Linked DNA regions of Sus scrofa. The protein of the gene in region 1 purifies or fractionates together with the protein of each later gene. This does not show direct contact. Links are inferred from orthologs where the notes say so. Each region holds a gene or a part of one and is shown on either strand. Other genes may lie near its edges.

Region 1 (7,402 bases):
CCTGGTTCCTCTTCATCTCCCCTTCTTTTAAATATTGTAGTATCTCAGGGTCCAGTTCTCAGATCTCTCTGCTCTACTTATTCTCACTACCCTGCTGATCACCTTGAGGCTTGTGGCTTTAAATTCCACCTACACAATGATCATTCTGAAAAGAATGCCTCCACTAGCAACTCTTTCTGGCTCCCAACTGCTTCTGTCCAACACACTCCTCTCTGAGAGGCTCTGGATATGACCCTTCTGCCTGGCTTTTGTCTGGCCAACTCCTGCATCCTATAGATCTCAAGTCAAACATTCCTTCCCAGACACTTTAGAAGAGGTCCTGGTTTGATGATCTATCACAGCCCTTGTCTCCTTTATTGCAATTGCTAATTTAACGCACTGTCTTCCAAAAGAGACCATGAGCAACAAGAGCGAAGGGAGTAGGTTTATCATAGAGGCTCAATGATGAATAAATGAATACCAAAGTATCTGTACATCTCCATCATCTCCATGACTTGTCACATGTTTTTCTCTCCCAATACCTATACCCTTTGTCTACTAGGAAATTCCTACTCATCTGTGGGAACAATATATACTTCTTTTGAAGCTGAGGGAGCAGCTAGTACCTCTACATGGGCCTGCCACCCCTTGTCAGCTCCCATCATAGTGCTGACTGCTTTTTACACTAGTCAGTGAGCTCTTTGGGGAGCCAGCTCTATGTCTTACTCATCTCTGTATCACTGCCACCCAGTGGCAAGTGGTAAATTCTGAACACCTGGATGGCATATAGGGAAATGAGAGATTGAGTCACTAAAATTAAGCACTCCATCTTAAACCTCATTGTCTCTCTTTTTCTCATCTGTTGTTTTCTGTGCATCCTTTCTTCATTCATTCAGCAAATGCTTAGCAAGTGTCAGGCACTGTTCCAACACTGGTGTCCATATGTGAGCAAGACAAATCAAGTCCTTACCTGCACTCCACTGAAGAAACAAAGAAGACAACGTCCAAAAACAAATAATAGGAGTGGGTATATGATGACCAGATGGCTGGAAGTGCTACAATGAAATGATACAGGGGCATTTAGTAGGTAGGGGCAGAGATATGAGGGAGATGCTTTGATACAGCGGTCAGGGAAGGCCCTTCTTAGGAGGCAATATTTAAATCAAGCCTAGATGATGAGAAAGCCCATCACACTTAGATATGGGGGGGGGGTTCATCTCAGGCAGAGGAAACCCTAAGGCGGGCACCATGATGGCTTCTGGAGAGATAGCAAAAAGGCCAAGGAGACTGCTGCACAGTGAACAAGGGGAGCAAGTGGGAAGTGAGTCAGAGAGGGAGGCAGGTGCCACAGCACACAGACCATGAATGAACTGTGGATGTTATTCCACTTGTAATGGGAAGCTGAGGGTTCTCAGCACAGGGGTGATGTGATTGGATTTATGTCTTTAATGATCAATCTGATGCTATGCAGAGAACAGAGCATGGGGGCAGTTGTGGAAAAAACAAGCAGAGCATGAGTAGAGGTCAGGAGACTAAGTCGAGGCTGCTGCAGTGGTTTAGGGGAGCAATGCTGGTGGCTGGAAGGGCTTAGATCTGAGCAAAGGCACCATCTTTGCAACACCACTTAGTGTTATAGAGAGAGCTAGGCTGTCAAGCCACATAGATCTGAGATAGGCACCTTTCTTAACCTTTAATTTGTGACCAGAAAAGAGGAATGAAAACACCTGATTCACAGGTTGTTGTGAAGAGTCAATCAGACAAAAAGCATCCAGCAGGGTCTCCCACAGCAATGCCCCTCAGTGAGTGGTGCTCCTGGCCTACAATCCCCAATTCCAAAAAGCACTGAAAACTGAGGTTTACTTTATTTTCATTTGATTTGGTTTCGGTCAGTGTGTAGCCCCCCATCTAGACCTGAACTAACATGAGTTATTTAGAGTCTTTACCACACTTTGTTGTCTGCAGACAACATTTATACATTTCACTGCAGAAATGTTTTATGATAGACTGCTGCTCCACTCTAAGAGCATTAAATTACTTACTAGTTTTTAAAAAATCCATAAGTCCCTGAGTACCAGGACATACCTGACCTAAGGGTTTCAGATAAGGATCTGCAGCTGTGTCATTATTTTTAGGAACCAAAGTGTCATTTAGTTTAGTCACAACCATGAGACCATGCATCCAATTGCAGGAGGCCATAGATCTCAGAACACCAGTTATGGAAGAGTCCTTAGCAATTATTTAAACCAAAGTTCCATGGAATGCCCTAAATCCACAGAACTTTTACCTCTACATAACTGCTGATGTTCAAAATGACAAGCCAGTTTGAATTTAAGCAAAACATAGGTGTAAACCAATAAGGTGCTCAATTGGCCTGTTTGAAATAAGTACTTATGAGTTTGGAAAAAAAGAAACAGCAGGTTTCCTTTCAACTACATCTCATTTGAATATATGTTACCATTTTCCTAAAAGAAAATTCCATCATAATCACTAAAAATGTTATGTGTCCATCTTACTCTTGCCCAAAAGTTACTTTGCCTGTGCCTTGATTCCCTTACGGCAGACTGTGAACACTTACGGGTCAAGCCCCCTCCAGGGTCTGAACACTGCTTGACAAACAACATTCAACTAGTACCTGATGAATTAAATGAATAAACTACACATCCAGTGTTACGGATCTTCAGGTTCAAATACGGAAAGAGAAGAACAAGGGCATAAACTGCTCAAGATTCTAAGTTCCTAAGGGACAGCAGGGAGTCTCTTAACTTCTGATTGGCGGGTCTCATACTCTGGAACTCAAAAGAGAATGTATTAACTACCACTCATTAAATAAAGACATAAGGAATATCTATTATGTACTAGGTTATACTAGTGAACAAAACCCTACTCTTGTGAACTTACTAGTGGAGGCATATGGACAAACCCAATAAAAAGTGTCACAGGATGATAAGTACTATATTGAAAACCAAGGCAGAATAAGGGGGACAGCAAGGGAAGAGTGGGGCTTCTTTCACATGCAGGTTGTTCCTGGAAGGCTGCTCTGATAAAGTGATATTGGAGGAAGTGAGAATAACACGAAGGACTGGTCCACACAGGTATCTGGAAGAAGAACCTTCCAAGAAGACACAGGCAGTGCAAAGGCCTAGAGGCAGCAGATAGTGCTGAGCTGTGCTCCAGGAACATCAAAAAGGCCTGCGTGGTCAAGAATGGAAGGAGCACTAAAAAACACTGTGTGGGATTCTGATGAGATGGGAAGCTACTGGGGAGCAGAAAGGGGTTGTCTTGTTCGGACGTGAAGTCAGGTTCCCGTGGTGTTGAGAGGCGGTGCGGGGGTGGGGGTGGGAATGGAGTTGGAGCTGGGGGGGGGGGGCTAAAGATGGGCTTTTGGGAAACAGTTGCGACAGTCCAGGCAAAAGACTTTTGGTCAGGGATTATTTAGCCAATTTTTTGGGCAATTCAGGCCTCCGTATCTCCCATCTGTTGTCTCTCAAGGATGGGGCTTTTTCGTTTTCCACTGGTTGTCCCTGCCCCCAGCCTGCGTCTGGGCAAGTGATTACTTGCTCTGCTAAAAAGATCTTCGCGGGAGATGAATGGCTTTGGTTCCCACCGCGCTGCATAGTCCCTCCCCAAATTCAGCAAACGCCCCACCTAAGGCCTCGGACAGCGCTCCCAATGCAGCGGCTCAGGGGTCAGGGGTCTTACCAGGGTCCAGTCCCAGGCTGGGGATGCAGGATGGCGAGCGCCCTTGTGGCTCCTGGTTGTCGGCCCCTCGCCACTCACCCGCGCTGCTGCAGTCTGTGAAGCCTGGTGGGATCTGGGCCGCTCACTCTCAGTTTCGTTTTCCCCGCGGACTCCGCCTTCTTCCCCCGCCGCACGGGCCCCTCCCGCACCAGTCAGCACTTGTCCGCGCAGGCTCCGGGATCGCGCGCCACTGGCGCCTGCACCCGGAGTTCCCGCGGGCGGCAGTGCGGAGCCTGCTGGGCACCCGCCGGCCGCTGCTGCGCGGTAGAGCGCGTCCGGGTCCCTGCGGCCTGACCTGGTCTTCTCATGCTGCTTCCGGCCCCCGTGGCGGGATCAGTCCGCCGGGATGTGGGGAGGACCTTGAGGTCTCCGAGGCCCACTGCGTGGCGGGCGCTCCCTGAACTGGGCTCTTCAACGCAACATTTGGGACGGCGTTGCGGGGAAGGATGTCATCAGCTCCATTTTACATTAGAAACTGAGCAAATTAACTGTCCCAGAACAAAGCAGGATTCTATTACTCTTAACCACCAAAGCACCCTGCCTCTTCCTCACATTCACCAGGCTGGGAATGAAGAGGTCTGCTGGCATAATCTCCCTTCAGTCTGTTTCCAGCCATCCATCCATTCATTCAACGATACTTGCCAGCCTTTGTACCAGCCAGTCCATCAGTTAGAGCCACTTGCTCCCCGCGCAACCTCCTGGAGGTTTCGACCAAAGTTCTTACCAGAAATCCCAGATTTGTAAAAAAAAAAAAAAAAAAAAAAAAACCTACTCACCTAATGGACTATGACACCTTCCCAAAGTAATACTGGTGCCTCGACCAAATGACTGAGGAGTGCTGAGGACTTACCTCACAACAGTTCTGCAAGGTAGGTCCATTATTATGCCCATTTAACAGATGAGAAAACAGGCCTGAGGCACAGAGAAGTAACAACTAGTAAGCTGAGGAGCCAGAATTAGAACCAAGAGTCTGTACCTCAGCATCCTAGCTAGGGTGAGTAAGAGAGGTGGTCCCAAGGTGGACTTCAGGTACACATTACCTATTGGCCATTGACTCCAGGAGTCCTTTCCCACTTCTCTTTTCTACCCCCTGTATGACAGGATATCAATGGCTAAACACTGCATTTTCCTTGATTTAAGTTCCCCCAATGTGGCACACTGATGGGAGTTTGGAAGGCAGGTAGGAGGCAGAGCCATCTTTCTGTGCCCTTTGAGGTCGCAAAAAGCTCTAGCTTTAGTGGCTCTTTGAAGGAGTCCACTTACCAGCTTCGTGGGTGTGGGGTGACTGTGACAGCCACAATGGCAGTAGCAATGACAAGTTTTCTGACTTTTTGAAGCCTCTGAACTGTCCAAGAGCTTAAGGAAAGAAAATGACAAGCTCAAGCATGGTCAGAGGCCACAAATTTTTATGGTTGAGGGGAAAATCTTCTTACTTCTTGTAAGCCTCAGGGCTGATAGAGCAAAAATCAGGTGCAGAGTCTAATACTACAGGGTAGCAGAAATACTATATAAATTTTTGTTGTTGTTCTTTTAAAGCTTTATTGAACTGTAGTTGAGTTGTAATGTTGTGATAATTTCTCCTGTACAACAAAGTGATTCAGGTATACATATATGCATAACCATTCTCTATTAGATTCTTTTCCCTTATAGCTTATCACCGAATATTAAGTAGAGTTCCCTGTGCTAACAGCAGGTCCTCATTGACATTCTTTTCCATTACAATGGTGTGCATATGCGGGAGTTCCCATCGTGCGCAGTGGTTAACGAATCCGACTAGGAACCATGAGGTTGCGAGTTCGGTCCCTGCCCTTTGCTCAGTGGGTTAACGATCCGGTGTTGCCGTGAGCTGTTGTGTAGGTTGCAGACACGGCTCGGATCCTGCGTTGCTGTGCTCTGGCGTAGGCCGGTGGCTACAGCTCCAATTCAACCCTAGCCTGGGAACCTCCATATGCCGCCTGACGGCCCAAGAAATAGCAACAACAAAAGACAAAAAGACAAAAGACAAAAAAAAACAATGGTGTGCATATGCCAATCCAGACCCCCAGTCCATCCTCCCCCTGACCTTTCCTCTTTGGTAACCATGAGTCTGTGAGTCTGTTTCAATTTTGTACATAAGTTCATTTGTATCCTTCTTTTTAGATTCCTCAAATAAATATCTTACGATGTCTGTCCTTGACTTACTTCACTTAGTATGATAATTTCTGTGTCCATCCATGTTGTTGTACATGACATTATTTCATTCTTTTTTTATGGCTAAGTAATATTCAATTGCATATATGTACCACAACTTCTTTATCTTTTCTATTGGTGAATATTTAGGTTGTTTCCATTGTCTTGACTATTATAAATAAGACCACAATGAAACTGCGGTACATGTATCTTTTCAAATTGTGGTTTTTCTCTGGATAGATGCCAAGAAGTAGGATTGCTGGATCATAGTAATTCTATTTTTAGTTTTTTTTTTTTTTTTGAGGACCCTCAATACTGTTTTCCATAGTGTTTATATCAATTTGCAATCCTACCAACAATGTGGGACGGTTCCCTTTTGTCTGCATCCTCTCCAGCATTTATTGTTTGTAGACTTTTTTTTTTTTTTGACTGTTCCTGCAGCATGTGGAAGTTCCTGCACCAGAGATCTAACCTGTGCCACAGCACGAACCCAAGCCATTGCAGTGACAATGCCTGATCTTTTTATCCACTGTGCCACAAAGAACTCCTGTTTGTAGACTTCCTGATGATGGCCAATGTAAGGTGACACCTCATTATAAGTTTGATTTGCATTTCCCTAATAATTAGCAATGTTGAGCATCTTTTCATGTGTTTTTTGGCCATTTGTATGTCTTCTTTTGAGAAATGTCTATTTTAGATCTTCTGACCATTTTTTGATTGGGATGTTTTTTGATATTGAGCTGCATGAGTTGTTTGCATATTTTGGAGCTTAATCCGTTGTTGGCTACTTTGTTTAGAAAGATTTTCTCCCATTCTGCAAGTTGTCCTTTTGTTTTGTTTATGGTTTGCTGTGCAAAGTTTTTTTTTTTTTAAGGATTTTGATTTTTTTCCGTCATAGTTGGTTTACAGTGCTGTGCAAAAGCTTTTAAATTTAATTAACTCAAAATTAATTAACTCAATTAATTATTTTTGTTTTTATTTTCATTACTCTAGGAAGTGGATCCAAAAATGTGGGAAGTTCCCATTGTGGCCCAGTGGTTAATCAGTCCGACTAGGAACCATGAGGTTGCGGGTTCAATCCCTGGCCTTGCTCAGTGGGTTAAGGATCTGGCGTTGCCGTGGGCTGTGGTGTAGGTTGCAGACAAGGCTCGGATCCCTCATTGCTGTGGCTCTGACGTAGGCTGGCAGCTACAGCTCCGATTGGACCCCTAGCCTGGGAACCTCCCATATCCCAAGGGAGCGGCCCAGGAAATGGCAAAAAAAAAAAAAAAAAAAAAAAAGACAAAAATGTGTTGCTGCGACTTATGTCAAAGAGTGTTTTGCCTATGTTTTCCTCTAAGAGTTTTATAGTATCGACTTTACATTTAGGTCTTCAATCCATTTTGAGTTTATTTTTGTGTATGGTGTTAGAGAATGTTCTAATTGCATTCTTGCATGTAGCTGTCCAGTTTTCCCAGCACTATTTACTGAAGATACTATCTTTTCTCCATTATATATTCTTGTCCCCTTAGTCACT
Region 2 (7,344 bases), on another chromosome or scaffold:
TAACCTGCTGAGCCCTGAGGAAACCCCCCATTATGGCTTCTAAAAACTCATTGTATTTGGGGTTTAAATGTAACATGCTCATAGTCTCCTTAACAAGTGGATAACCAAAGACTTAAATCAGTTTTAAGAAAAAGTTACAGTGGAGATAAAGTTTTCAATTAATTTTAATGACCCGAATTAGAGGGAATGACACTTCTGACCACTTCAGAGTCCTTTCTAAAAGCGTAAACTCATCCATTTATTCCAAAGGCATTTACTTCCACTTACTGGCTATTGGATGCTGGGACAACAAAGAGGAATGAGATACAGAGACTGGCCTTAAACAATGTACTGTTCGCCATGTGGAGTCAGGCTCAATAATAATCTGATACACCAACTAAGTCAGAGGAGAGAGTCAGAGGAAAAGTGTGGCTTGCTCAGAGGAATTAGAGAGGTGATTTTATTTATTTATTTTTTGGTCTTTTTAGGGCGGCACCTGCAGCATATGGAGGTTTCCAGTCCAGGGGTCCAATTGGAGCCGTAGCTGCTGGCCTACCCCACAGCCACAGCAATACCAGGTCCAGGCCCCCTCTTCGACCTATACCACAGCTCACCTCGACACCAGCTCCTTAACCCATGGAGAGAGGCCAGGGATCGAACCTGTGTCCTCATGGATGCTAGTCAGATTCATTTCTGCAGAGCCATGACCGGCACTTCAAGGAGGTGATTTTGGAATGATTTGAAGGATGATTTGCTCCTTGGGTGAGGAGAGGGTGGACTGCAGGGAGAGGAGGTAGCTGAGGAGAGGCACACAGGTGGGAGGCTTGTCCCTTGATACTGCAGGTGTATGGACTCATTCAAAACATTCAACAGGTATTTGAATGCAAGGCCTGAGCAGCTAGAAGTCCTTACTCAAGGACTAGAGCAGATTTAGGGAGGATGCACCAAGTTTGAAGGAACCAGCAGAGGTGAAAAGAGGGGAAGGAGCTAGGACAGAGTTCTAGGGGGAAAATGCAGCTGTAGCTATTATTTTACCAAGTACATGCCAGGCTCTGTTTAAAGGGCTGTATACATACTATCACAGTTAAATACATGTTATCACATGTTATCTCCCCTTGAACAAAAGAATAAACAGACTCATTGGGTAACTAACATGCCCATGGTCTCCTGGCTAGTAAGTGGATAACGTGGCCTGGTTATCTAATTCAGATGCCCTTGCTTTTAAGCACTAGCTACAGTGTCTTCCCAGCTGCTCAGGGACCTATGGTTTTAGGTGATGTCTGAAATCACAGGCCTAGTCCACACTGCTCAGGTGGAGAACTGACACTGGGAGGGAACCCTGGGAATAATAATGCAAATGGACAAGTGAAAATACAATAATAACCCTATTTCCAGACTTTATTGCCGGATTATTTATGGTGCAATTTATGGTGCAGTGGCCTGTTGAATTTCACTGGGCTTAACTGGGTTGAAGTTATCCGGACATCACTAACCCACATCAAAACCAGGACGAATCAAGAAGGAATTCGAGTTTTCTGGCACCCTTGGCTCAACAATCTAGGATCTAGGACACTGTTCTAAGGTGATCATCCTTATTGGTTCGAAGGATTTCTTTTTTATGTGACCACAGACGATTTCTTTTGTGGCTGAGGAGGTTGTCGGGCCACGCTGCGGCTCTTGGAGAGCAGGTGATTACCGATCACTAGTGTTTTCTGGGCGAGACAGTTGCGCCAACCCCCTCCCCTTCTCCCCCGCCCCCCTCCTCCTCGCAGTCGAGAAAGGTGCAGGATCCGCTAAACCGTGCAGCGCACAGCGGCGGCCAGAGCCGACGCGGGATGGTCGCGCGTCCCCAGCAGAGCAGAGAGGGCCAGCGACGGAGCCTGGGGAAGGTACGGGCGGGGGATCGGGGTTCTGACACTGCCTGGAAGGAGCAGTGGGTCAACTGGGTGGGGGAGACAGTTGCCGAGTGCAGGTGTGGGAGAGGCTGCCCCAGGCCCATCCTTTGCAGCCGAGGAGGCGGGCAGCTGGACTGGAGACCAGGAGCCTGGGGTCGGGGTGGGGTCCCCGGGCACTCGCTCGCCCTGCTTCCCAAAAGTCCCTGGGGACCGGCCCTGGCCCCGAGGCCGGCCTGCCGGCGCCACCACCGCAGCGCCCGTGGCGGCAGCTGCTGCGTCCGACTGCCGGCCGCCAGGGGGCGGGAGTGGCGCCGCGAACAATGGCCGCGCTCGGCCGCGCGCCGGCGAGTGGAGGAAGGAAGGGAGGGAGGGCGGGCGCCCGGTGCGCGGCCGCGGGGCGGGGGGGCGGGCCAGGGGCGCGCGCGCGCACACCGGGCGAGCTGGGGCGCGGGAGCGGCTGCGTCGGCGGGGGCGCGCGGCGCGGGCCCGGGAGGGCGCGGCGGGAGCGCCGGGGAGGCGGGCGGGCGGGCAGGCGGAGGCGGGGGGCGGGGAGCCCGAGGGGTGGAAGCCGGCGGCGGCGGCGGCGGCGGCGGCGGCCGAGTGGGGTCAGTTCTCTGTAGTGTTTGCCAATGTTGGAGCCGTCTGCAAAGTGTCCCTGGCGAGAAGGTAAATTCCCTGGAGGAGGGGTGCGTCCGGGAGACCCCGACATCCGCCCCGCTGGCGGAGGAGACAGAGGGCGCTGGGGAGCTTTGCAGGTTCGCGGCGCGCGGCGAACCCCGAGAAGAGCGGCCCCTTCGCGGCCTCCCCTCCCCCGCGCCTTCCCTCCCTCCGCGGGCTCGCTCCGGGCGGGAGGGGGAGGGAAGGAGGATGGCGGGGGCCGGGGAGCTGGGGAGGTAGCGAAAGAATTGGGGGGGGCGTGTGTGGAGGGGGTGGGTCGACACAGGTGTCTGGAGAGGAGGAGCCGGGAGGAAGGCGAAGAGGCCGGTGCGAACGTGGTGCGGTGGCGGGGGGGTGTGTGCCCCAGGGTAGTAGGGACCTGGGAAGGTGGGGTCTTGGGGGCGGGGGTGGGAACCGGGAAGGGGGGATAGCGGGGGTAGTGGCGGTGCGGGAGGGGGAAGGCTGGGGGGAGGTCCTTGCGGAGAGGAGGTTGGGAGGGGAAGGGAAACTGGGGGGGGGGGAGGCCCATCCTGGGAGGGTCTGCGGGGAATGGGCCTAGGGGCGCGGGAGCAGCGGCGGGGCGGGGGCGCGCCGGGGGGCGGCGGCGGTGGCTATTTCTGTAGAATGGGCAAGTGATGAAGACGTAACGCGCCGAAATGGGGAAGGTAGGTGGGGCCGAGGGGGACAAAATATATCCTATGACAGGCAAGTTCTGCCGTGGCTCCTACGAACTACTCCGGTGAGGGCTCTGCTTAAAGGGGTAGTTGGCAGTTGTGACCTTGCGGAGGTGAAGGGAGTCGGGCGAAGAGGCAGATCAGTTACAGACTCCACGGTGTAAGGACAGAGCCTCCAGTCCCTCCGGGGAGAGCCGCGTGGATTGTGTCGTGGGGGCTGTTCTGCAGAGGCAATTGAGACGCGACGCTGATATTCTTCGGGAGGGGGGCTGGGATAATGGCCTCGGGGTTCTGGAAGTCCCTGGAAATATGTGCAGAATTTTGCATTTGTGGATAATTTTCTTTGGAAAGGGGCCATACTTGGCGTGACACCCGCCCCCCCCCTTCCCTTTCCCTTTTAAGGTTTAGAACTACTTGAGTTGAGAAGGACCGTTCAATTAGAGGAAGGTACTATAGGATTTTCAAGTGGGTGGTTCCTGCAGAAAGCTCTTTTAAAGGTATTTCACTGTTCGCTGCAAACCTTTATTTTTAATGTTTGAGTTCACAATTTTGGCGAACTTTTGCCAAGTCTTACTGCTCTTCTGATGCATCCTTATGTTTTAAGAAAGCATGATGAACATTTGAAATCAAAATTGTGATGGGCAGGCAGGATAATAGTAACCTTGTAGGAGAAAAGATTGCAACATTGCTCCTGAAGGCTATTTCTTCTCCGTCCTTGATTTCTTAAGATGATTCACATACACTGTTGTGAATTGAGCTGCAGTGGGGAAAAAAAATCTCATTTAATAAAACATCAAAACCAAGACATTCTACATCTTGCTTGTTTTGTAATAGGGCAAGTTTTTCATTTTGTCTATATTTTACTGCAAACCAGAGATAACACATACCACTTGAATTGTAGATTTGCTGCATTTTGCAGCAGGCCTGTATTAAATTTGTGAAGCACTTACACCAAACTATGTGATGTCTGTGTTTTTTTTTTTTTTTTTTTTTCTGGCTATGGTTTTAACTCAAGTCACCGTAGCCACATCATTCCATGGCATTGTAATTTGAAATTTATTCCTCAGTGATTATTAGTTGGTAGGTATGGTGCAGATTTCCCATATGCCACTAAAATTTTCCTTAACTTGTTTTGTATTTGTAAAAATATTGCTGTATAATTGTATGTACTGTTAATTTCAGATAGAATGACATGTAATTTTTTTTTTTTTGCCCTGTGGCATGTGGAAGTTCCAGCCCAGGGATCCAAGCCGTGCCACAGCAGCAACCTGAGCTGCTGCAGTGATGCCAGATCCTTAACCCACTGCACCACAAGAAAACTCCACCAATTTTTAAGTTTTAGTTTTTTTATTTGGAAATAATTATAAACTTACAGAAAACTACCAGGAATAAGAACAATACAAAGAAAGGCTATTCATGTCACTGTAACTTAGATTCATCTGTTACCATTTTACCAAATAATCATTTGATCTCTCTTTGTCACACACACAATATTTTTTTCCTGGACCATTTGAGGGTAAGTCACATCATGGCTCTTTATGCCTAAATACTTCAGCATGGAAAATGATTTTTAAAATCCACATTTTAGCATATTTGGCTTGCCTGGAATGAGGTTCTAGGGAAGAGTTGCTTGGTCTGGTTTAAAGCAAAGAATATCAGAAATATCTAAGGTGGTCATCACAGTTATTAGGATATAAATGATATAAAAAGTGAGGCTGAGTGCTTTTCCTCTGTTAGGATCAGGTCCTGGAAGATATAATTGGCCAGTATGTTGGTTTTTTTCCGTTGTAGTTAACCTCCTCTTTACTCCTATTGCTCTGTCTTCTTTTGAACACTGAGCACTGGGTATCTGATCATTTATGTGTACAGGTCATCATAAAGAAAAGGGAAGAGTCTAGATGTTGCAAAATTGAATTGTTTTGCTCTTAGACTGAAGAGTGGGACAGATGCACAGTGTAATCAGATCATGATGGATATATTTGTGCCTCATCTAGATAATCAAGAAAATACTAGATGAGTGTCGGGGAGCCATAATATTATAGTTCATATTTGTGTATCGTTGATTTTGAATAAAAAGTTCTAAATGTTTTTGCTTTTCGTATTGTCAAATGAGACATTTAAGTGAGTATTGCCTGTCAGTTGCGGGATGGGTGCCAATATCAAATTTATAGATCTATTACTTTAATAATGCCATTTAATAAAGCAGGGTTTAATTTTGCATAGTTTTCAATTAACCAGAGAGGCAGGATGTCGTAACAAGAACAGAGAGTTATAGCAGTACAATTCAGATACACGTTGGACCTTTAATTCTTGATGAGGACACGTCTTCTCCAGCTAGTAGTGCCTTCTCTTCATAGACTGCCCTGCCTGTTTTCACTTAGTAGCTTGGAATCTGGAACTCCGTGTCCTAATGTGCCTGACTGGATAACACTGTAGGGCATTTTGGGGACATGTGAATAGGTTTCTCTAAAAGTACTTAGCTGTAATGGAAATGGATATCAGCTGGGAACTTTTTTGACAGGGGAGTGGTGAATTTTATGAAACTGTAGGCAGTGTAAAATGCTGTTTTGTTGATCGGACTTGCTATTTTATGAAGTTGTTTTAAATGTAGGATGGTAGGCCTGGCATGTCTTTAAAGAAGAAATGAAGTGGGCATTCCAGATTGTCGAGAGTTAAAATTTATATTGATAAAAGCCTGATGTAACTTGTTTGTGAAAAAGCGTAAGTTCAGGATGTTGTCCAGTTACCTCACAGAGCACTGTTGCACACAATATTACTTTCATGTTTTCATTTATATGGATCTTTATTTTATAATTATGAAGGAAAGGATTACAAAATATTTAAAATTGTATGGTCAATTTTAAGTGAATAGATGCTTTCATCTTTGTTTCTTCATAAAACTACCTTGTGTAGTTCCCTGGTGGCCTAGTGGTAAGGATCTGGTGTTTTCACTGCTGTGGTGTGGGTTCAACCCCTGGTCCAGGAACTTCTGCATGCTGCGGGTGTAGTCAGAACAAAACAAACAAAACAACTACCTTTTGTATATCAGAAGGTTAGAACCTAAAAAATATACTCCTGTATTTTATTGTGCCTACTTCTCAGAATCAGCCATCATTGTTGCCAAACTCTAATACTGAGGGAACATGTACTGGTCCACAGATAAACATTTGTAACTTTTAGAGGCTTACATGAAATAAAAACAAAATGAGGTTTCTCAAATTTGGTAAATGCTTACGACTTCATGTTAAATTCTGGAACATAAGGGACGCTAAATCACTGAGATGCTTTTAGTGATTTATTCATATCCAGATGAATTGTTTTCAATTAAAAAAAGAAAATTAGTTGGGTTTGTATTTTTAGTTATAGAGTGTATTTTAATACCTTTTGACTAATGCTATATTTTTTAATGTTTTCCTCTTTTAAATAAAATGTAAATGTTTAATAATTCATAATTTACCACTTTCAAATTCTAGTGTTACTCTTTTGTTTATGTTGAACAGGGAATTGATTTTCTTGGGGGGGGGTCTACCTAAGTATATTAATTAATACTTAAAACACCATAGAATTAGAGAATTTTAGAGTTGAATGGAACTATCTCATATATTGTCATGTAACAGATTACTCCAGAAATTAAGAGCTTAAAACAACAAATATTTATTATCTCAGGTCTGTGGGTTAGAAATCTGGGTGCAGCTCGTCTGAGTGCGTGGGGTTTAGGGCTCCCTAAGAGCTTGCAGGTAAGCTGTCTGTGGGGCCTTATTCTCATGCGAAAGCTCAATTGGGGAGAAGATCTACTTTTGCGTTGTTCACTTGACTCTTGGGAGGATTCAGTTCCTTGGGGGATATTGGACCAAAGGCCTTAGTGTCTTTTGGGCTGTAGGCTGGAGGCATCCCTCAGTTCTTTGCCATGTAGGTCGTCCAGGGCAGCTCATGATGGGGCAGCTGGCTTCTCACAGGGCAAACAGGTGGGAGAATGAAAGCAGGTGACACCCGGGAGGGCAATAATGGTCCTTTTATAACCCAGTCTTGGAAGTGATAGCTCATTATTTCTTCTGTATTCTATTTGTTAGAGGCTGCCTTCCACAAACACTTAGATTTACTTTTTAAAGGTTTTTTTTTTTTTTTTTTTTTTTTAAAGG
Region 3 (7,545 bases), on another chromosome or scaffold:
AGTTCCCATCGTGACTCAGTGGTTAACAAACTCAGGTAGTATCCATGAAGATGCAGGTTCGATCCCTGGCCTTGCTCAGTGGGTTAAGGATCTGGTGTGGCCGTGAGCTATGGTGTAGGTCACAGACATGGCTCGGGTCCCATGTTGCTGTGGCTGTGGTGTAGGCTGGCGGCTACAGCTCTGATTTGACCCCTAGCCTGGGAACCTTTATATGCCACAGGTGGGGCCCTAAAAAGCAAAAAAAAAAAAAAAAAAAAAAAAAAGAAAGAAAAGAAAAGAAAAATAGCAAGGGAGTTCCCATTGTGGCTCAGCGGGTAACAAGCCCAACTAATATCCATGAGCATGTGGGTTCGATCCCAGGCCTCACTCAATGGGTTAAGGATCCAGTATTGCTGTGAGTTATGGTATAGGTTGCAGACTCAGCTCAGATCCTGAATTGCTGTGGCTGTGGTGTAGGCTAGCAGCTGCATCTCCGATTAACCACTAGCCTGAGAACTTTCATATGCCATACATGGAGCCCTAAAAAGCAAGAAAAAAAAAAAAAAAAAAAAGGAAAATAGTAGGATTTCAATAAGCAGTAAATGTGTGTGAGAGATCATTCTGGTGGGGGGGGGCAAATGTACACAAAGACCTGGGTGTAGAGGAGGTGGCACATATTACAAGCACCAAGCAAGAGGAAGGCTGAGAAAGGACTTTGGAAAGTTACTCAAAGAGGGAGTCCAAGGACTACACACTGGTGAGGGATTTTCACAGCCACCTATCACAGAGAGGAAGGGCCTACTACATATAACTACATTCTTACCTTTTCTGAATGAGTCCAGGCTGAACATTTCTGGCCAGGAGTGAAAGCTGGAATCCTAAGAAGAAACAGGGCCAAGAGGCAATGGTTAATATTTCTGGCCCAGGAACCCCACAAAGAAGACTTCAGTAACACAGAAAGCACTGTCCAAAAGACAAGACAAATGAAGTTCTTTACTAATGAGCCCCAACTGCTGCTCCCAGTCTTAGGGAAGGAAGAGCCATCTCCACTAGAAAGTAATTACACATCTTTATTTCTAATTGAGGGCTTTCTTCTTTTCTTTGTCCTAAACTCCCTGAACCCTACCAAATAGAAGGAACAGAAGGGGGTGCATCTCATCATGAGAGACATATACTTCCACCTCATCACAATACTTGCAGTTATCCTAGGACTTGTAGGAAGAAATAAAATTCTACATGGACCCTTTTTCTCATGTGCCATCAGGAAATGGGACTGATGTTTGCCTTATGGACAAACTGGTATATTGGGCTTTCACAAAACCTAGTCAAGACCCTAGGAATGGAACTTGACTGACAGTATCAAAGAGTAAATGGAGAGTGATTTGAAACAAAAAGCCTTTCATGGTGGCGTCTCTATGAAATAACAAATATTAAGATAAAGTTTAACTATTGGCCAAAAATTTTGCTGCATTTTTCCATTAGCACATTTAACTGAGGAATATACCTACAGACTTACACACACACACACACACACACACACACACACAATAAAGAACACCTCTGCTTTAACAACTTTGTTTTACAAAGCACTCAAACTCAGACTTACAGATGTTTTTAATATTGTAGTACTCCTGGGTTGATGGAGTAACCCTATATGGCCTTAGTTTAAAAACACCTATACAACATTTTAGCAAATCTGGATGATGTCCAAGATTACTAGGAGTCTAATGGGGCCTATTCCTGCTCCTGACTACTATTCCCTCTTATTCTCAAATTGTGGGGAGGTGGGGGTGGAGGGCTGACCTGGGGACGAATCTTTCAGGTCCATAGCAGGTCTGCCCTGATGGCCTCCTCTCCCCCAGGGATGCCGGAAATTTCAGCCGATAGGATATGGTAGCTCAGAAAGAAAACTTCAATACAATATCAACAATGATACAATTTACTTTAATAAGTTACATTCTATAGACTCCTTCTACCCACATTAAAAGAAAAAGGGTATAATTTGAGATTCTAATTTTAAAGAAAAATCTGAGTATTATAAAATCTAAAACATCTAAGTGATTATTAATTAAAAAACAATACTTTCTAGCTATGAAGTTGTAAAAGCTATTTTGCTTGTAAACAGACTCATTTTGCTTTTAAAAAGTCCCTGATCCTCTCCACACCAACAAAGGCTCATGTAACACTATCTTTTCCTGTATAAGTCTTAATAAAATATACTGTGAGATTCAGGATAGGATCTTTTAGAGATTAGTTTATAAAGCCCTAGAACATTTCAAAGAGATCTAAAAAGAAAACTGTCTTCCTTGTTATACAGTATTATGTTGGAAAACTTTGTTTAGAGTTTTTCTTAAATAATCTAGAGATAAGTAAAATAACATTATGTCAAAATTTCTTGCATAATGAAACACCACTTAACTCCAGATAGAGACACTATGAGATGATTCAAAGACAGAGTCTATAATGATTAATTTAAAATGATACCCTTCTTCCAAGACAGTCACAAATGGATTTAATACATGCCTTCTGCTTTATAGTGTGGCTGAGCCTGAGACCCACCACTACTTTGTGTGCATGACTAGATCAACTTACCTTACAAGAGCAGTGACAGTCTCAGATTTTGAAGGCTTTTAAACTGGAGCTGAATTCTCTCTTTGCTATTCCTCATCACGAGGCTGGGCCTCCTCCTGGGAAGTACAATGCTGGGTCACTAAAGTGATGGCCCCCGCAGGGAAAGAAAGTTGCTCCGGACCATTGAAATTCATTTACTAACTCTAACAACAAGGACAAGTTTTGTTAGTGGCATGAAAACACATATTATACACTTTGGCCTCACTTCAGAACCTGCCATGACCCACTCCAGACCCATCAAATTGTGTGATGCCCTACATCAGCATCTATAAGACACCAAGAAAGATTATGTCACAGTAAAGAGGGACATGTAGTCCTGAAAGCATCGTCTCCAAGCCCAGAGCAATACTTGCTTCAGTTTTGAGCTCTATTTCCATATGACTATAATATGAACCTATTCTAAGGTAGATAAAAAAGCTTTTCCAATCGGGAAAAGATCAAGACTGAAATGTTAAGTACCATCTTTACAGCTTACAAAGTACTTCCACACACTTTATCTCACTCAAGCTATGAAACTACCAGTGAGGTAGGAAATATCTTTCCCAGGGAAAGAAACTGAGGCAGATTTTCCCAGAGAAGAGAAACTTATACAATTTGCCCAACATCCCATAACTGTCTCAAGGCACAATGCAAATCTGCAGTTAAGGGATTGAGCTCCAAAGTTTTCCATGCTATACTATACTACTTATTCCCATGTTATCACGCTGTTGCCTAGATGTCCCATGGTTCACTCTTTGAAAGAATATTCTGTGTTGGCATCTTAAGGCTGAAAGGGGCAAGAAGGTCCAACTGATAAACTTTGGACCACAATTCCATATTTTAAAACAGTTGGAGAGTAAGTATCTTTTGGAGGTAAAGGGACAACCTACACAGAAAATGCAGCAAAGGATGTATTTCCTGCACCTAAAACAGCTACATAAATAAAAAGCGCTAAATAAATCCCAAATACTATATCAGGAAAAGAGTTCTCCTTCCAGAAACTCCAAGATTCCAAGATTTAAGTGTAAACTATAAAATGCAGTCAAGTCCCACTATGCCAGTGGGGTTACTGCCTTCAAAGAAACTGCAAGGGAAACGAACAAACAATGCTCTTTTCGCTTTGGCTAGTAAATTGCAACTAAAACCCACGTTTAGAATCTGCAACTGGCCACCTGCAGTCCACTTGCTACAGTGTATGACAAGCCCCTGTAGATGGAGGTTGGAAAGTGAACAATCTCTGCCCTGCAAAATCACAATTAAAGTGAGCAGTGTTGCTACACGTCGACTAGCTAGACAGCATGCTAACGCCATACTCCTGGCTCGAGGGTTCTGAGGACCCCTGGGACTTCAGTTCACTGCAAACAAAGGACCCAACATGCATTAGGTCTTCCCCTGCGAAATGGGGCAAGTCACCACCAGCAAACAAAGAACACTTCACCCCTTGGCCTCCCCCAGTAAAAAGGTCGGTGCAAAAGGAGGCAAACCAGGGGGGCCAGAATGCACCAGGCCACCTTTTGGACGAACGGTCCAGGCGGCACGGGGGCAGACAAAGGTCCCAGGGCACTCCGGGGGCTTCCTCCAGGCCCTACCTCGGGAAACAGAGCATCCCCTGAGGCGGAGGCGTTGTTGCGCCAATGAAGCGGCTTCTCCAGCGGCCCCCGCGGTGCCCCTGGCTACGAGGCCCGCCCCAGCGGACCGGTCTGGCCCCCGCCCCCGCCCCGGCTCCATGGCAACGGCAGGCCGAGGCCTGGCTGGCCAGGGCTCGGCCCGGCCGGCTTCCCGGGCAGGCCTAGGATGCCCGGCCTGCTTCACGGGCCAGCCCGCTTCTCCACCCCACTCTCCGCCAAGCCGGCGGTCGGACCCGAGCCCCTCCTCGCGCCGACCACCCCCGGCCGCGGCCGGCTCCTCAAGGGGGCACGAAAGGGGAGAATAAAAAGCCCAATTCACCTGTTGTTACAGATGTGAAACAAGCCTCGGTGCACCGCGCATGAGCCGCGGGCCCCCCCAAACCACGGCCGGACTACAACTCCCACCAGCCGCTGCGCGGCCGCTTCCGGGTCCCGTGGCGGAAGTCCCGCCAGCCGCGGGAGCTCCCGGTCCCGTGCCCCCAGCCCCGCCTCCCGCGCTCGACCCCGCGTCTCCGCGGGTCTGCAGCTGGTCCCCTGCTTGAGGCCCTCAGTGGCCGCCCAGGGCTCATGCCCCCGGGTAGCCAACCCGCGGCGAGACTCCGGCGCCGGGCCCAATGAGGGGTGGGCGAGGCGGGACTTCCGGCAGGGTAGTTAAGAGGATGAGCACGCGAGGAGCCCTGGGGGCGTCCAGGAAGCGAGCCTGGGCCGCCGCCCTTTTCGCTGTGGCTTAGCATCCCGAGTGTGATTGTGAGAGAGATTTAGGGTCCTCTGCACACCCGCCCCGCGCCTCCCGCTGCGGGTAAACACACAGGCCGGGTCAGGGTTGAGCCGGGAACAAAATCCAACTCTGGCTCCGGGCTTCTACCCGCTTCCCCGCCGCGGCTCGTTGCCACGCCTCTTCTCTTCTCCATCTTCCCTTTGATCTTCTGTTTCTTTAGGGAGATGAGGATTTCTGCCTCACAAGATTGTTAGGAAGATGAAGTTAACACGATCGCGCGTTGTGAACAGTACAACGCTAGGAAAAGAACAAGGGGGCACTTGTAAGTGGAGGGAGACCGCAGGTCAGAGAGCTGCTGGGCGTGTCTAAAGATCCCGTGCCCCCGCCTCCCTCTCGCCTGAGATGAGAAAGGGCATTGTCCTTGTTTTGTGCTGCATTCCTTCAAATGAGGCTCCAGTGTGAATGTCAAAAGGAGACATCTCAGTGGGGAGTAGCTCTGAAGCTGGGTCAGGATTTTACTGCTGGAAAGACTTAGAATATGCTTTCTAAAATGTGGCCGTATCCCATCGTTTTTGTCCAAACATTTAAATTTAACAAGTATTTATTATTTTATCTCAACGTGGGACAGAAGGGTGAGAGAGGTGAGCATGGAACATGCAAATAATTATTACCTGTTTTAATCAGGGCGTGGGGCTATGATGTGTGTGGGATGTTGCCTTCAGGGATATTGATGGATAGCAGTTGTGTGGCAGAAACGAAGACCCAGCTCCCAAGGGGTCTAGGGCCAGTAAAGAAGATGAAAACATCTGTAAAGCAGAAAGTTAGTTATAAATGCTGGAGAGGAAGTATAGTGTTGAAAAGGTACAGAAAGTCACGTGAGCAAAGGCATCCAGGTGGAACAAAAGGCAAATCCTAAGACTATTCAATAGTTCAATGTGACCAATGGGGTGGATATGTATATGTTTAGGAAAATAGAGCAGAAAAAGCAGGATGCTATGCTGGGATTTTGACTTTATTTTTAATCAATTGTTTTTTGTGAGACATTTTTACAGTTCAAGTAGGAGAGTAAATTTACTGTATTTTAGAGAAGTTATTCTGGAAGTGTGGGAGTAGAGTTGGCTGGAAAAATATTACCTTGGATACTAACCAAATGAAAGTAATGAAGGATTGAACTATGTTCAGTGGTGAAAGACAAGAAAGATAAGAATGAGAGGGCGATTGAAGAGCTCCAGGCTGGTCCCTGGCTACAGATGTGTGGAGTGATGGCTTTGAGGTGGTACCACAGTAACTGGAGGTATTATGCACTGTTACTATAATTAAGGGAGATGGGAGTTGGAGGTAATAGATTAAGCCTCATTCAGATTGTTTTTGAAGTGCCCTTGTGAATATTAAGTGATAAAGATATGGTCTCTGCTGCAAAGGAAATTCTAATCTGCTAGAGAGGATGAGAAAAGCATGTAAATAAGTTTTAAAGCAAAACCTAGAGGAAGCCCTGCAAAAGGCACAAGTGGAACATTCTAATACTTTTTTTTTTCTGCAAGGTTTTGGGCCAGGATTGAGCTGGCATTGCAGTAGTGACCCAAGGCACAATGCTGGATCCTTATCCCTGCTCCACAAGGGAACTCATAAACACTTTTTCTCCTGGCACATTTTATGTTTTATTTTGTCCCAGAAGAGCTTTTCCTTATTCTTGAGCCTCAAACTTTTTTTTTTTTTCTTTTTTCCTTTTTAGGGCCAAACCGGCAGCATATGGAAGTTCCCAGGTTAGGGGTAAAATCCATCCTGCAGCTGTCGGCCACAGCCACAACAATGCGGAGATCTGAGCCACGTTTACAACCTACACCAGAGCTCCTTAACCCACTGAGCAAGGCCACGGATCAAACCTGAATCCTCATGGATGCTAGCCGGATTTGTTTCTACTGCCCCACAATGGGAACTCCTAAGCCTTGAACTAATCTTAATGAATGGCTGTAACTAGAGAGACTGATAAAATGATCCATTATATATCAAAGTGAGTGTCTTTTTCCTTCCCTCCCATATATTTCACCTCTTATTTCCTAGTTATTTCCTTATCACTGTCTTATTTTCCTGTGTGCAGTCCCTAGATTTTATTCTTTGCTAAGATCTCTGTCCAGAAACTTCACATCTCCTGACAGTTTCCTACTCATTTCTCTAGGCCCTACTTTGAGCTTCTTTTTTTTTTTAAGGGCCCTGCTCATGCATATGGAGGTTCCCAGGCTAGGGGTCGAATCTGAGCTGTAGCCACCAGCCTATGTCACAGAAATGCAGGATCCGAGCCTCATCTGTGGCATACACCATGACTCACGGCAATGCCAGATCCTTAACCCACTGAGTGAGGCCAGGGATCAAACCTGTGTCCTCATGGATGCTAGTCAGATTCATTTCCACTGAGCCATGACAGGAACTCCCGAACTTTGAGCTTCTATTAGCAGTTTATTCTTACCTGTGTGGTAGCACTTAAAGTATTCTTTTTTTTTTTTTTTTTTAATTTTTATTTTTTTGTCTTTCGTCTTTTGTTGTTGTTGTTGTTGCTATTTCTTGGGCCGCTCCCGCGGCATATGGAGGTTCCCAGGCTAGGGGTTGAATTAG
Region 4 (7,262 bases), on another chromosome or scaffold:
TGGGCTCCAGGTATTTACTGAAGCACTGGCTGACCACTAAGCAACACAGACACGTGGAAGACAGGAATGATAAAATGAACCAAATTGGGAATATTTATTCTTAAAGTATTTAGCCACCAGGAAGTGGTTTTCTTGCAAAGTGTGAGGAAACTCTAACTTTTCCATGCATGAAATCACATGAAGAGTCCTTGAGACTACATGAAAAAAGAGAGAGATGCCTGGCCAGCCTATAATGCTGTTTCAGCTCTAGCCATCATGAGACTACAACTGTCTAAGAGACCTTGAGTCAGAAATGTCCAGCCAACCCTTTCCTGAATTCCTGACTCACAAAATCTGTGAGAAGTTCATAATATTTCCCACAGAGGGAAACATAACTTACATGAATCATCAGAATTCTGAGAAGGTGGCCAGAAAGTTGCCCAGTTATCCACAAACAACTCTAATCCAACTACCAATTACCAGAAATGGGCAGGTTTCATATTGGACATTAGGTGCTTAGAAAATCATTGGAAAGGCTGAAGGTGCTAGAGTTGAGCCTTCCAGAAATGTCTCTATGAACAATGCATAACTGTTTCAATAGGTGAGTTAAAGCTTCTGAGGCCTCCATTGAAGCCTTGCTGGCAGTAAGCAGCTTCCATTGTCACTGCGCATGCCTCTTAACCTATGAAGCTGGAGAACGGATGCAGGAACACTGATGAAGGAAGATCTCATAGTTCTACCACCTTTCTTATTTATTTGTTTATTTTATGGCCATGCCTGTGGCATATGGAAGTTTCTGGGCCAGGGACTGAATCTGAGCTGCAGCTACGACCTACCATACCTCAGCTGCAGCAATGCTGGATCCTTTTAACCCACCATACCAGGGATCAAACCTGTGCCTCCACAGTAACCCCTACTGCTGCAGTCAGATTCTTAACTCACTATGCCACAGCAGGAACTCCTTCCATGACCTTTCTTGATAGTAACTATAGCCAACAGCCATAGGAATATGATCTTCACAGCATTTCTATCTTTCAGCTCTTATGAGAAGGCAACTGATTTACAGGATTTAATTTGTATCCCTATAGTAGATAAGCAGAGGATGGGGCAGAGGCGGAGAGATCTAGAATGTGAAGTACAGGGTTAATTTTCACAAGGTCAGTGAAGCAGAGCCAGTAAATCTAGCCTTATCAATAACTAAATCAAATGTGAATAGTCTAAATAGCCCACTCAAAAGGCAGAGATTATTAGAGGATTAAAAAAAGCAAGATCTATTCAATGAAAGTCTATTTAGCAATAAAAGGAATGAAGTTTTAATACACACTACAATTTGGCTTAACCTCAAAATATGCTGAGTGACGGAGTTCTGTGGTGGCTCAGTGGGTTAAGGATACAGCGCTGTCACTGCTGTGGCTTGTGTAGCTGCTGTGATGCGGGTTCAATCCCTGGCCCAGGAAATTCCACATGCCACAGGCACGGGCAAGACAAACCAAAACCAAAACCAAACATATTGAGTGAGAGAAGCTAAATGCAAAATACTACATATATATGATTCCATTTATACGAAAAGTCCAGAAAAGGCAAATTTACAGAGACAGAAAAAAACTAGTGGTTGCCTACAGGAGGAGGTGAAAGTGAAGATTTAATGTAAAGCGGCACAAAAGAACTAACTGGAGTGACAGAAATATTCTAAATTAGATTAGTGCCATACAACCCCATAGTTTTACTAAAAATCACTGAATTGTACAGTTATTTTTTTTTTTTTTGTCTTTTGTCTTTTGTTTTGTTGTTGTTGTTGTTGTTGTTGTTGCTATTTCTTGGGCCACTCCCGCGGCATATGGAGGTTCCCAGGCTAGGGGTCCAATTGGAGCTGTAGCCACCGGCCTACGCCAGAGCCACAGCAACGCGGGATCCGAGCCGCGTCTGCAACCTACACCACAGCTCACGGCAACGCCGGATCGTTAACCCACTGACAAGGGCAGGAACCGAACCCGCAACCTCATGGTTCCTAATCGGATTCGTTAACCACTGCGCCACGACGGGAACTCCTGAATTGTACAGTTATAATGGGTGAATTTTATGGTAGGTAAATTATAACTCAATGAAAGTGCTAAGAGAAAAAACAAAAAACCAAGTTGAGTAGGACTTGGTATTACAGGTTATCTACCTAGACCTCAGATAAATTATTGGACAAAGTGAGGAAAGGAGAGAAATGTTCAAAGTGACAGTGTGCACACACAGACAGTTCACTTTTCAGCACACAGATGCTGTGTTCTCTGCTTCAGGGTATGCCTTCTCTGTTCCTTGAGGACAAAGGTCACTTCCTCTTTGTGCACCTTCAACTCTTAGATATTCCTCTTTAGTGCATCCACTACATTATACTGCAACTGTTTTGGTGTCTGCTTCCTGGACTAGACTACAAGCTCCTCAGGACAAGGACAGTATTTTCCTCATCTCTGTGGCTCTGAGGACAGCCAGTCTTGAGAACAGAGCAGGTGTCAGTGAATGTCAAATGAATGAAAGGAAAATTGCTGAGGTTGAGGGCGGAGGAGAGGCAACTTTGTGCTAAATACATTTGAATGTATGAGGATGAAGGAGACAGGTGCTCTATACTAATTTAAGAGTCAGACTGGACTAAGAAATATTCATCAGGGTATAGGTCTGCATACCACTCCAAATTTAAACATCTTCCTAGACAAAAATTCCATTTATCCCAGGGCAATCAGTTCACAAGCAACATATTTACTTTCCAAAATTAGTCTGCTCAGCAAGTAAACAAGCCTTTAGAGAAATCTGATTTCCCTGCAGATTACCTGACAGGATTAGCACAAAGGCCCAGTTTGTGTACTTCTGGGTTAGTTAAGCAGATAGCTCTGCTGACTGTGAAGGGTGTCACATAGCAGGGTCAGGGCAGCTTTTTCCATCCTCCTTTTTCTACTCCATCTTACTCAGTGCCAAGTCAACCTGGGAAGCTTCAGTCCAGAAGTGGCCCCCTGGGTAGCCTTGTGTATCCTGTTCTCCACAACACTGGGATACAAAGAAGCTGGAGTCAAAGTATATCCTGGTCAGGTTCTCAGGCTCCTGGCCCACATCTCTGAAAAGGGACCCAGCTGGTGGAGACAAGAGATATCAAGAAGCAGGGGGTAGGCCAGGGCTCGGTCACCAAGTCCAGGAAGGACAATGGTGTAAGGCCTTCTAGGGCCCTCGGAAGTGTAGGGCATGAGAAGGGAGGCAAGAGACACTAGGACCGGGAAACCTGGAGATTGGTATAGTGAAAGGGCTAAGAGTCTGGCCAGGCGAGGAAGGTTCTGCAGATCTGAGACGGTGATGACGGCACGCCCAGATGATTCCAGTCCTGGAGTTTAGGAAGATATGCGCTCTGGTGCATGAAGAAGGCGGGGGAAAGAATCCCACGCCCGAGCATGAAAAGGCCCTTGATCATTTGCACGCGATTCTTGGGGTGCCGCGGTCTCGATTTTCAGTGGAGCTACCCACGGCGCTCGGGCCCAGGTGGGGTGCACGAGTCAAGGGAGTCCCGGGGCGCGTCGCGCAAGGGGACAGGTCGGGCGCCAGGGGGTGTGACCGTAGACCCGGGGGCTGATCCGCATTCTCGCCCCGCGCTTCCGCCACTCCCGAGGAAATGAACAGGCGGGCGAGGGGATTCCTGCCTCTGAGACCCCCGGACTCACCTGCCTCCCTCCCCACTGGTTGGGCCCCGGACACTGCTTCCCAGAGGCGGCGCGCCCTCTCGCGGTCGAAGCGCAGCGCATCCAGCTCCCGGCCCTCCCGCTCCTCCGAGCTGTTGTATAGCTGGGCCACGCCGCTGTCCGCTGCTTCCACTGAGCCCAACGCGGGATACTCCATCTTCCCCGCAAGCTCTAACCTGCCGATAGCCGCTCAGGAACGTGGGTCTCGCGAGATGTGGGTGGGAGGGTGACTTTGCCCGGCCTACAAATCTCGCGAGGTTTGGGCACCGCAGACTACGTTACAGTGCGGGAGAGCGGCTACCTTTTCAACGCTGCTGCTCGGACATCGGAGGTTGTGAGTGGAGTTGGTCGCGGCTTCCACGGCAGCCCCCTCCCTCCGGGACAGGCTCGTGCAGTCCTTGGCTCAGGTTTCTCACATTGCTCACGGTCAGCTTTTGACACTTCTCGTTTCATACTCATGAAAGCCCTGTTATGTGGGAATATATTTGTTTCACTAGTAGGGAAACTGAGGCCCAGAACTTAAAAATGGCTTACTCAAGAGTTCGTTCCTAGTAAGTGGTAGAGCTGGTTGTCCATTTCCATGATTCGATTACTATTAATATTACATACCATTTGAGTTCCAGGTACTAACCCCCAGCCTAGTCTTCCTGCTAAACTGTACTCCAACGTAACTGTCACAAGCTGAAATTTATTCCAACCGCTGCGTCTGCTCCTTCTTCAGTCTTTCCGAGCACTCTCTCGCGCGACAATTATTTTAGCATCCTCACCGGCCCTTTCGTTTATCCCTCAGGTATTCTCCCAAAACAGCAGCGCCAGAGATCCTCTTTTATTTTATTTATTTATTTATTTTTGTCTTTTAGGGCCACACCTGCTGCATATGGAAGTTCCGGGGTTAGGGGTTGAATCAGAGCTGCAGCTGCAGCTGCTGACCTACGCCACAGCAACTCAGGATCTGAGCCGCTTGTGCGACCAACGCCGCAGCTCACAGCAACACTCGATCCTTAACCCACTGAGCGAGGCCAGGGATCAAATCCGCATCTTCATGGATCCTGATCAGGTTCTTTTTCGCTGAGCTACATGGGGAACTCTCAGAGATCCTCTTTTAACAAGCCACATGGTGGCACCCCGGCGCTGAAATTCTCCAAAACCTTCCTATCTTACTCTTTGTAAAAGTCGAAGTCCTTGGTTTAGCCAGTAAGGCCTATACAGTATGACTTCTCTTAACCTCCCTGACCTCATCTCCTGTTGTGTTAGCTTCCAGCCCCTTCATTCCTGTCCCAGTTATCCTGGCCTTTTCCCCATATAGCCTTGTGGCTCTTCTCTTTATTTCCTTCTCTGGCTGTCCTAGCTGAAATTTTGCCCCTCCACATACACTTCATATCCTCCTTTCCTGCTTTTTTTTTTTCTCCTTAACACTGACTGTTATCAGATATGGTATTGTTTTAATCTTGTTTATTGTTTCCCCACTAGAAGGCATGCCCCAGGAGAGCAGAGATTTTTGTTTATTTTGCTCTCAGCTGAATCCCCAGCATCTTGAAATAGAGCCTGAATCTTCATAGGTACATAGTATATATTTTTTCAATAGTGAAACTTTTGATATAAAGTTATTTCAAATGCTTATTGAGAATTTACTATGAGCTAGATGTTGTTTTGGGCATTGGAATACAGTGGTGCACAAGATAGATGCGGAAGCTCTATCTTGCTTTTTATTCTAGTGAAGGAAAGTGTAATAAGTCAACAGATAGTGCTAACTGCTAAGGAGAAAATAAAACAGGAACACACATTGGGTGAATGATATGGGAGGAACATTAGTCAAAGTGGTCAGAGAAAGCTTCTGAAGAAATAGTTGACCTAAGACCTGATTGGTAAGAAGGGGACACCATGCAAAGAACTGGGGAGGAATGTTCCAGGAGAGGAAATAGATGCAACGGTAGGAGTGAGCTTGCTGTGTTGGAGGAACAGGAAAAAGGACAGTATGCCTGTATTCCAGTGAACAAGGTGGACATTGGAGTCGTGGTGTCAGATGAGGAAGGAGAGAAAGAGATTTTTCTTATCTGAGATCACACAACTCATCAGTGGTATTTATTTATTGAGACTGCAAATAGTGAGCGCCAGCTCTGTGTCAGGCCTCATGTCAGGCTCCAAAGCTTCCAGTGCAATAGATGACTGGTGTTTGTGCAGAGCTTTATAGTTATGAAGCACCTTTAACATATAGGAGTTTCCACTGTTGGACAGTGGGATCAGAGGCATCTTGGGAGCTCTGGGATGTGCGTTCCATCCCACCACTGCAGCTCAGATCTGATCTCTGGCCTGGGAACTCCATATGCTCCAGGGCCACCACAAAAAAACAAAAAACAACAACATACATTGTAACATTTAATCCTCGAATCCTGGGGGTGGTTCTCTCTTATGTAGATTCTTTCTTATTTGACAATAAAGGAAGACTGAGAGAGGTGAAGGTTTTGTCAGGACCATACAGCTACTTAGCCACAGAGCCCATACTTGAACAAACTAGTCCTCAGAATGCAAATCCATGTCTTTTTGCCAATACCACATGACCAGCCTAAAAACCCATTATTGTATATTACTTATCTTAAAAAAGATTTCTAGTTACCTATATTTGTGTAGCATGAGTTATTCAGGTAGAAGTACCAAGGGCATCTTTGTTAAAATCCTGTAACTCGAACGTATATATATTTAACACAATGGAGCAAATCTTGAGAAAGGGGTACTTATGATGCTATATGTATTATTGGATAACAGTCCCCCACCTCCCACTCCCAATCCAATTAGATGCTCAAAATAATTTCCATTTATTCTCCAATGAATGTTGTCTTGATTTGTCCCCCTGTGCCACTGAGGCAGAGTCCTGAGTTACAGCACTGAGTGTCTGTAAACAGCCCATGTCATCAGTTTTCCGCTTTGTCTCTTTGTGAAAATGCTTCTAGTATTTGTCCAGGCCTGAACTCCTTGTTGAAAGACCTGCCTAGTATTTGTGGGGCTGACTTTAATTTCTTCCCTGTGGAAAATGAGAACCACTGCTCAACATGTTCTACTGTGTATTGTTGCTATGGGAGAAGAATAATATGAGGGAAATGGCTTTGCCAAGGGACAGGAACGGGCCACAGTTCACCAGACATTTCAGTTGAATAAACATTGATTTTGTGTGTTCTTGGGCATGCCAGCCCACATTACAGAGCCTAGTAAAATATGATTCCTGTGCTCTGGGAAATTAAACTCTGGAGATGAAAGTATCTACTAGAGGGGTTCTTTTTTGGCACAGTGGGAAGGGATCTGGTGTTGTCTCTGCAGGGGCTTGGGTTGCTGCGGTGGTATGGGTTCGATCCCTGGCCTAGGAACTTCCACATGATGCAGGCACAGCCAAAAAATATCTACTATATACTTAATATCAAAGAATATGTGTTAACTGTTTTGATTGTGCCCAGGACTTAATTTATAGAGGTGACTGAGTGATGACACACAATTTCAATGCCATTGGGGTAAAGGGTGTTAGAATATGGCCTTGGGGGAATATTGGCTTGGTACATGAGAGTCTATAAAGGAGGTAGTTGGGGA

What was found.
Region 2: the proteins of EIF2AK2 (region 1) and STAU2 purify together in Homo sapiens (affinity purification with mass spectrometry; 3 studies listed by BioGRID and IntAct, with this or other methods). This does not show direct contact. The link is inferred for Sus scrofa from reciprocal best matches to the Homo sapiens genes EIF2AK2 and STAU2.
Region 3: the proteins of EIF2AK2 (region 1) and DHX30 purify together in Homo sapiens (affinity purification with mass spectrometry; 3 studies listed by BioGRID and IntAct, with this or other methods). This does not show direct contact. The link is inferred for Sus scrofa from reciprocal best matches to the Homo sapiens genes EIF2AK2 and DHX30.
Region 4: the proteins of EIF2AK2 (region 1) and ZNF346 purify together in Homo sapiens (affinity purification with mass spectrometry; 3 studies listed by BioGRID and IntAct, with this or other methods). This does not show direct contact. The link is inferred for Sus scrofa from reciprocal best matches to the Homo sapiens genes EIF2AK2 and ZNF346.

What each region holds. Positions count from the first base shown.
Region 1 is NC_010445.4:103,037,631-103,045,032, reverse strand, and holds the start of EIF2AK2 (interferon-induced, double-stranded RNA-activated protein kinase), read right to left. Parts: upstream 4,005-7,402; 5' UTR 3,679-4,004; intron 1,035-3,678; exon of another isoform or gene 950-1,034; intron 1-949.
Region 2 is NC_010446.5:62,137,730-62,145,073, forward strand, and holds the start of STAU2 (double-stranded RNA-binding protein Staufen homolog 2), read left to right. Parts: upstream 1-2,416; 5' UTR 2,417-2,540; exon of another isoform or gene 2,541-2,629; intron 2,630-2,806; exon of another isoform or gene 2,807-2,899; intron 2,900-3,059; exon of another isoform or gene 3,060-3,196; intron 3,197-3,607; exon of another isoform or gene 3,608-3,702; intron 3,703-7,344. UniProt on the Homo sapiens protein: RNA-binding protein required for the microtubule-dependent transport of neuronal RNA from the cell body to the dendrite.
Region 3 is NC_010455.5:30,599,267-30,606,811, reverse strand, and holds the start of DHX30 (putative ATP-dependent RNA helicase DHX30), read right to left. Parts: upstream 4,774-7,545; 5' UTR 4,537-4,773; intron 4,304-4,536; exon of another isoform or gene 4,179-4,303; intron 2,754-4,178; exon of another isoform or gene 2,667-2,753; 5' UTR 2,572-2,666; intron 1,890-2,571; exon of another isoform or gene 1,808-1,889; coding exon of another isoform or gene 1,783-1,807; intron 858-1,782; coding exon of another isoform or gene 803-857; intron 1-802.
Region 4 is NC_010444.4:80,891,694-80,898,955, forward strand, and holds the start of ZNF346 (zinc finger protein 346), read right to left. Parts: upstream 3,885-7,262; 5' UTR 3,844-3,884; coding exon 3,669-3,843; intron 1-3,668.